2 linked regions of the Alligator mississippiensis genome follow. The protein of the gene in region 2 purifies or fractionates together with the protein of the main gene of each other region. This does not show direct contact. Links are inferred from orthologs where the notes say so. Each region holds a gene or a part of one and is shown on either strand. Other genes may lie near its edges.

The links.
Region 1: the proteins of RNF19A (region 2) and SOD1 purify together in Homo sapiens (affinity purification with western blotting, with the first as the bait; 3 studies listed by BioGRID). This does not show direct contact. The link is inferred for Alligator mississippiensis from reciprocal best matches to the Homo sapiens genes RNF19A and SOD1.

Annotation. Positions count from the first base shown.
Region 1 is NC_081824.1:290,751,235-290,755,143, reverse strand, and holds the start of SOD1 (superoxide dismutase [Cu-Zn]), read right to left. Parts: upstream 2,885-3,909; 5' UTR 2,827-2,884; coding exon 2,752-2,826; intron 651-2,751; coding exon 557-650; intron 1-556. UniProt on the Homo sapiens protein: Destroys radicals which are normally produced within the cells and which are toxic to biological systems.
Region 2 is NC_081826.1:38,625,143-38,629,051, reverse strand, and holds the start of RNF19A (E3 ubiquitin-protein ligase RNF19A), read right to left. Parts: upstream 3,097-3,909; 5' UTR 2,908-3,096; intron 2,899-2,907; exon of another isoform or gene 2,449-2,898; intron 512-2,448; exon of another isoform or gene 396-511; intron 1-395. UniProt on the Homo sapiens protein: E3 ubiquitin-protein ligase which accepts ubiquitin from E2 ubiquitin-conjugating enzymes UBE2L3 and UBE2L6 in the form of a thioester and then directly transfers the ubiquitin to targeted substrates, such as SNCAIP or CASR.

The sequences.
Region 1 (3,909 bases), on a different chromosome or scaffold from region 2:
ACGGCAGGGGGTCGGACTTGATTATCTGCTCAAGTCCCTTCCAACCCTACCAACTACGAAACTATGCTGTGCTGCACAAGCTTCTTCACACTGCCCTAGATCACAATTGAAAAAGCCAAGCTCCACCAAGAGTCAAATCTTAACTTAAGTTTTGAAAGGAGCCATTTAGAGTTTATCCAAGAAATAGGTTCTCATTTGTGTTTAGCTTAACTTGCTGGCAGGTGCCACAGCCATAGTATTAAACAGCCTCTTATGGCCCACGCATCAGGTTTACAACTGCATGCTGGAATAACAGTAGCTCAGACATGTTGCCATCTATGCCATCACTTCCTGCTGGTAAACAGCAAGACAATGCTGAGATCATTTCAACTCCTTTCTTTGTTTTTACATACATAGGTTTTATGCATGAAAGGAATGTGATTGAAGTGAGAAGCATTACCACAGCTGTCTATTAACCAGTGTCCAAAAAATAAAAGTGGCTGCATCAAATACAATAAGCTAGTAGCCAAACTGCATTATGATAGTGCTACATTGAGACCCTGGATGAAAACTGTACCATTAGTGTTGTCTCCAAATTCATGAACATGGAAGCCATGTTTTCCATCACTCAAACCTTGAATGCTTCCTGACAGCTTTACTGGTCCACTATCCTTCAAAACAAAAAGAAGAAAATAAAATTTCTAGCTTGTTATTAACTCATTACAGAATTGTAAATAAGCATACAAAGGAGTAAAGCTTTGATTGAGACTTCCTGATTGAGAATGCATTCTTCAGTCCTGTGGTTTGTATAGGACTGCAGCTAATGCAGTATATGGTTGTGTGCTGTCACACCCCCAAGGCAGACTCATTCCATCTAAACCAGTTTTCAAGCTTTTTTTAGACTCCTTGGAAAACTTCTTGTTTTTTTGTTGGGTTTTTTTTTTTTTTTGGGGGGGGGGGGGGGGGGGAGGTTACTACAGAAAAAAAAAAAAAATTCTTGTGGTCTTCCCATGTTCTTTGCACCAGAACAGGTCCAAATGTTTAATATTATAACCCAGAGATTTCAAATGGGAATTTATCATGCACAGCATGTCTGCATACCCAGCAGTGCTAGCTTCCAAAAGGATCAAGTCACCCTAGGGTGCCACAGCATCCTGGTCGAGAATCACTGGTCTGAACACATGACTCTAGCATCAAGATTCAGACTGCAAGTGTGCACACAGCTGCCTTTTGACCCATTTACTTCCATAACCTCAGAGGGTTCCCCCCACCCAAATTTTCTTCTATAGAACTACTGCAGTGTCACAGAATCATAGCAAATTTGGGTTGGAAAGGACTTAAGGAGGTCACGTAGTCCAACCCCCTGCTCAAAACAGGACCATTCCCAACTAGATCCCAGCCAAAGCTTTGTCCACTCGGGACTTAAAAACCTCCAAGAATGTAGAGTCTACAACCTTTGGGTAACCTGTTCCACTGCTTCACTATCCTCCTGGTGAGAAACTTAAGGTTAGATACAAGGAACACCCCTAACCCCCTCACCATTTTCACTGCCCTCCGCTGGACTGTCTCCAATTTATCCACATCGTTTCTGTAGTGGGGGCTCCAAAACTGGACACAGTATTCCAGATGTAGCCTCACCGGTGCCAAACAGAGGGGAACAGGGTTCTTCAGGCAAGTCTGATATCTTTATTCTATTTGAGTTAGTCTAATAAAGGGAGAATAGTCACGTCCCTCAATCTGCTGGCAATGCTCCTACTAATACAGCCTAGTATACCATTAGCCTTCTCTGCAACAAGGTCAGTGTTGCCTCATTCAGCTTATTATCCACTCCAACTCCTAGGTCCTCTTCTAGGAAGCTGCAGCTTAGCTAGTCAGCCCTCATCTTTCACAGCAACACTAAGACCTTTATCAAAGGCCACACCTTTGTACACCATGTGTATACTCTTCAAGATACATCACAAGTTAAACACACTAATGACAAACTCATGTTTGTACTTCCCTTCCGCACTCTCCTAGATTTAACCCAACAAGGATCTTAGTTAAGAGCCCTTAAAAACCCATTTTGGCCTTATCTATCCAAAACCACATGCAGCAGCACCTTACTGCAGCATTCCCCCACACCCCTTACGCACAGCTCACTGCTTTCAAGCCGGGGCAGAGGAGGACGGCTCCACACCCATGACTAGGCACATCAGGCACTGACAGGCTGCTCAGACCACCTGCTGCTACAGCTCCGAGACCACAATTTTCCACACCCTGGCTTCAGGCATTGTGCTAGTCTCTAAACTGAAGCAAGGGTGTAGGGGAGCAGTGCCCACCCTGCCACCCAGCCCAGCAGGCTTAGAATTGTGGCAACAGGGGAGCAGAGTTGGCACTGCTGCCACTTACTGTAGGCTGGCTGGCACCACTGCCTAGGTTGGATCTGGCTCACAGCTATTAGCATTAGTGGCAGCAGCATCAGATTGATAGCAATACTAACCATATTACTTTTTAATCAATAACAATATAATATCAAAGCAAGTGACTGCGGGGCCAGCCCCAGCACCCAGCTCTTTCCTGGCTCCAGCTGCTGCCTCTTCTCCCCTACCACCCCTCACCAGGCAGAGCGGGGATCCCAGGACCCCGGCCCGGGTTAAATCGCGAGAAACGCGGACACACGTGCCCACCCCCTCGCATGACTCAGCACTTTCCAGCCTGACCTATCACCTCCCGCGCAGCTTACGTAACACCCGCCGTCAGCCCCGGGGTGGGAGCGCGGGGTCCAGCCCTTGCCTTCTGCTCGAAATTGACGACGCCGGACACGGGCCCGTCCCCGCGCAGCACACACACAGCCTTCAGCGCCGCCATGTTCCCCCGCGCCAAGCAGCTTAACTACACTGCGAAGAAACGCGCACTGGCGTGTTCCTGCCCCTGCGCCACTCCTTTTATATCCGCCCGGCACCCTCCAGCCAATCACGGTGCTGCTCCTCCCCGCTCGCACCGCCTCCTCTATCCCACCCCTCCCTCGCAGCCAATCAGGAAACAGCAGCCGCGCCCACCCGCCAATCAAAAGGCGGAGCCCTGCTGGCGCACCAATCGGCGGCCGCAACGCTGCTCCTGCTCTGAGGTGCTGGGGAAAGACCTCGTTCTGGATCTTGGGAGGGGGCGAGGTCCTTCCGCCCTTAGCTCCTTCCCTCCGCCTTTTTCGCCCTGGGCGCAGCAGTGCGCATGCGTGAGCATAGCGTGCTGCGTGCGCGTCCCAGGGCTGCAAAAGTACCTGCCTTTGTCTCCTCAGCCCCGAGGGGGATGGTTGCTCATAGCTAGACATGCTCTTGCCACCTTTAGTTCACCCCTGCCAGGTCTGACTAAGCACAGCTCTGCAGGCTTCATCTTGGGCGTTAGGGCTGGGGCAGCCATCCCAAGCTGCAGCACTCCGTGGCTATGACTGTTACCTCTGTTCAAATATGCCACAGATGCTGTGCCTACTCTAACGAACCTGGGCCCACCTCACCTCTCAGGCAACCAGACAGTAGTGAGTAAAGGCGAGTAAGAATTTGCTGGATGGAGGCTGAGGATTATGCAACATGGTTACCGCTGCTCATGTACACAGCAATGCAGCATGCCAGGCACAGGTGTCAAATGCTATTTAAGCCCCAATTCACAGTGCCTATCTGCAGCGACTGTTTGAGCTTCAAATCAGGGAGGCAGAAACAGGAGCAGGATGCCTGAAACCCCAGCTGCTTTTTACTCCAAATGTAACAGCACTGGCTGGGCATTTTCACACGTGCTCCCAACGGGGTGCTGGGTGCTTTTAATGAGCAAGCTGTGCTAATTAAAGATGCCCACGTGCTGCATATATCAGAGGCATAGGATATCCCTGTGCTGAGAAAAACGACAGGGTGCTTTGAACTAAAGCATATTGAACGTGTTCAAAGAGCACTGCTGCCATTT
Region 2 (3,909 bases):
GTGCAGCCCCCCGCCACTCAAAGTTGAACAGCTGTGATAACTGATTAATATTTATTTCATTTACAGAATTTTATTTCTATTTTTGTATTTTTAGTTTTCTATATAGCAGAGCATGGGAAACCTAATCTGTTCATAAGATTAAAACGTTATACCTGAAATTTAGCGCTCTCAAAAAGTTTTCCCCTTAGATTGAAAAGCAAACACTGAAGACTACCAACAGGACAAATTACAGATACAGCTTATGATTATCAATATGTATGATTCAAAGAAACACCTCTTACCAAAATATACTAGAAAATGTGTATTTTTCTAGGTATTTTCATACCCTACAAGAACAAATAAAATATGTACAAATAGTCCATTATTATAACAGCAAACTCAAACTGTCTCATTACCTTCCTGGTTGAAGTCTACTTCTGCGTATAATTTGTGTGCATCTAGTAAGACGATCTCTTAATATCATTCTCGGCCTCTTGAAGCTGTGTGCGTGTCAGTTCAGTCAGTTGCACATCTTGTCAGTGACAAAATACAGATGAAACAAATGAACAGAGAGAAAAAACAGAATTTAACTTTCTTATGAGTAAAACAACATAAGCACAAACATTAGCACTGGTCCTCTAAAAACTTATTAACCCTAAGGATCAATTTGAACAGGCTCCTCTAGAAACTATGAATCAGACCAAAAACTTTGAAACTTAAATGTGCCAAGTATGACTAAAACAGGGTATTAGACAATTATTAAAATTTCTTCTGCTAGATCTGGTGGCTAATCAACAGGACATTGCATTATAATTCAGCAAGTAATTTATGGACCTCCAACCACAGACCACAGTAAACCAACCACATAATAGGGGCAATGTCCTTGACCGCAGGACAACATGGGTGCAGAAAAGTAGCTGCTGCACTTGGGAGTTCAAAGCTGCTCATCAGAACCCTCAAAGCAGGATTCAATAGTCTAGGAAAAGATTGTCATCCTGCCCTTCTAGCTAGGATACAAAAAAAAAAAATATTTATGAACGCTGTAAGACTAATTGGGGGGAAAAGATAAACATTTGTATGAAAGGAAAACAATCTGCTGAAAAAATAATATGAAGAGAACAGTCTATATTATAGTTTCCGAAACTCATCACTACCTGCCTTATACTGGAAAACGTTAAGTTTTCTGCACTTGCCATAGCATAATACAAATCACATAAAACTACGAATCTTACCACTGACTCACCATACACACACTAACTTCATCTAGGAATCCCTAGCTAGGATGGTTAAGCTGCTTCACTGGTTAACCCAGAGGCCAAAACCCGTCTGCATCATACAGGCACACAAAACTCTTCTGTCAAATACCTTCTCTCCTTCCGACATCACTGACTAGGAATTTAAGAGTTCTGTTAACTCTTGTATGTAAAAACTTCTACTATTTCCCATCAAACTGTCCAAAAAAGCACACAATGTCCAGAGATTTAAATTTCTGCTTTTAAGATTAAAAAAAAAAAAGCCAAACAGATCATCCATTCTTCAAATCTAAACATTGTCGAGAATAAGCAGAACATGAGTATGCACTGGAGTTTCAGATAATTTAGAAAAAACACATTAAACATTTGTATTTTATCCAAAAATGGAGTTTTAAAGTATGCAGGTTTCTCTGACGTCAAGAAAAATTGTGTGGGGGCATTTTGTTTTGTTTCTTAATGCAGGCCTTTTTCTGGAATAGTTCATTTCCAAAGAGCAACAGAATTACTGTTATGGCAAAAGAAAGTGAAACGGGCTTGTTTATTTTCATTTTCCAGTCTCAGTTAACTGCAAAAGAGACCTAATGCTCATGAAATGCAAGCGTCAAATACATAAATGCTTTCTCTACTGCTCAACAAATTCACACTTGCTTCAAACTGCTTCTCACAGTTCCATACAGTCGCATTTCAGCAAACAGCTCCCCATTGCCTGTCACTTTCATACATGCAAATGAATTCTGCTAGTCCACATGATTTCTGATTTACAAGCCAGTCTGAATCCCTCAGGTTTGAGTCACAAGTCAGATGTACAAAAAAAGCCATATTAGAACCTTTCATTCCTAACTAAAAACCTGCCTTCGCCAAAGGCAAAGTGAGAAACAGGTCACGGGATACCTTAAGTCCAGCCCTTCCACTACCATTACAAAATAAAAAATGTGGAAGACGGGTGGAAATAAATTCAGAGAACATGAGGCTCTGATCCGTGGCAGAATTCAATCCTGCAACTCCCTGATTACATAAATACCCTTCTCCTTTTTCACCTTCCCCTTGGTGAATAACCCAGCATTTTGAGGAAACAGAAACCGCTAATCAACCCCGAGGGGTGGTTAAAAGCCACAGCCGGCCGTCTGGCCACATGGTAATAAAGGCAGGAGAGCCTGGATAAACACCGCGGCCCCCAACTTTGATTTCTCAGCCCGGGAAAGCCGCATTCCTCCACAGTCCGAGCCCGCGGCTTGGAGGGGGGCGGAGAGAGGAAGGAGGGGCCCGGCCCCTCGTCCTGCACTGAAGGTGGGGGGCCCCGGGCACACACCGGTCTCGGGGCTGGTTGCCTGGCCCGTCGCCCCCACCCCCGCCGCCACACCCTGCACAAATCACTGCGCGACTCCGGCGCGGCTACAGCCTCCGCCGAGGGCGCGGGGCCCGACCCCCCCGCACGAGTGCGCTGCCGCCGGGGAGCGGGGCCCGCGCTCAACTCTTCTCCCAGCCCCCGGGGGGGGAGGAGGGCCGGGCCGGGCCGGGCCGGGCTCGGCTCGCTGGGCCGCTGCCGCGGGGAGACAATAGGCGCGATGACTTCACCCTCCAGCAATGTGAGGAGCCGCCGGCCCCTGCCCCGCGCTCCGCTCCCCTCAGCGGCCCGGGCCCGTTGGCGGAGGGGGCGCCCGTCCAGGTACCTCACCTATGCCGCCGCCGCGGCCACCCCGCTGGGCCCGGCCCCGGGCAGGACTCGCCTGTGTGAGGGCGGGGAGGAGCGGGGCGAGGCGAGGCAGGGCAGGGCCGGGCCGGGCCGGGGGCGGTCGGCGTCTTCCCGAGCTGCGACGCGCTGAGCTCACACGCACTGCGCTGCAAGGCCGCCTCCAACGGCCGCTCAACGCCCGCACCAACGGCCGGGGGCGGGGCGGGGCGGGGCGGGGCCGCGTCACGTCGCGGGCTCGGGGCGTCCCCTCGCCCCTCCCCCCGCGTTCCCCCCTCGCGGCCCAGGCTGGGGATGCCCCGCGCGATGCCCCCGCCCCCGCGCGCGCCCTCGGGGCCGCCGAGCCGGGGAAGCCCGGGAGCGGGCAGCGCTGCTCGAGGCTGGTTAGGAGTCACCCGGCCCGGCTGGTCGTGCCCTTCCTTCGCTTCGTCTTAGTGCTTTACAACAGATGAATAAAGAGCCGGTGTCCGTGGGACGCTTCATGTCCCCGTCAGTCCGGCCCCATTGGAAAACCTGTCGTCCTCTGTCCCGGCTGCCAAACCCCTGATTCACTCCGCCGCTTTCCTTTGTTTCTTTGGCTGTAATTGCCTCTTCTCTGGCTCCAACTTTCAGCCACAAAATTAATCATCTGCGGTTTCCTACACTCCTCAGCTTGCCCCTTCCCCTTCCCCTTCCCCTTGCCCTGCTGCTCCTGTTATCTCTTCTTTTGCTCGTGTACCTTCTTTCATGCCCAGCAGCCGAGCCTATAAGCATGCTGCAGGTTTTTCCTCCCACGGTGGAGAACCTTGCATTTTTCAGCATTGAACACCACCATGTTCTCATCCGCCCACTTCATGAGTCTGTCCAGATCTGCCTGGATCACCCTCCTGTCCTCAGGTGTGGACGCTTTACCCCAGAGTTTGGTGTCATCGGCAAACTTGGCCAGTCCGCTTCTGACACCAATGTCCACATCATTGATGAAGATGTTAAATAGTATAGGCACTAGGA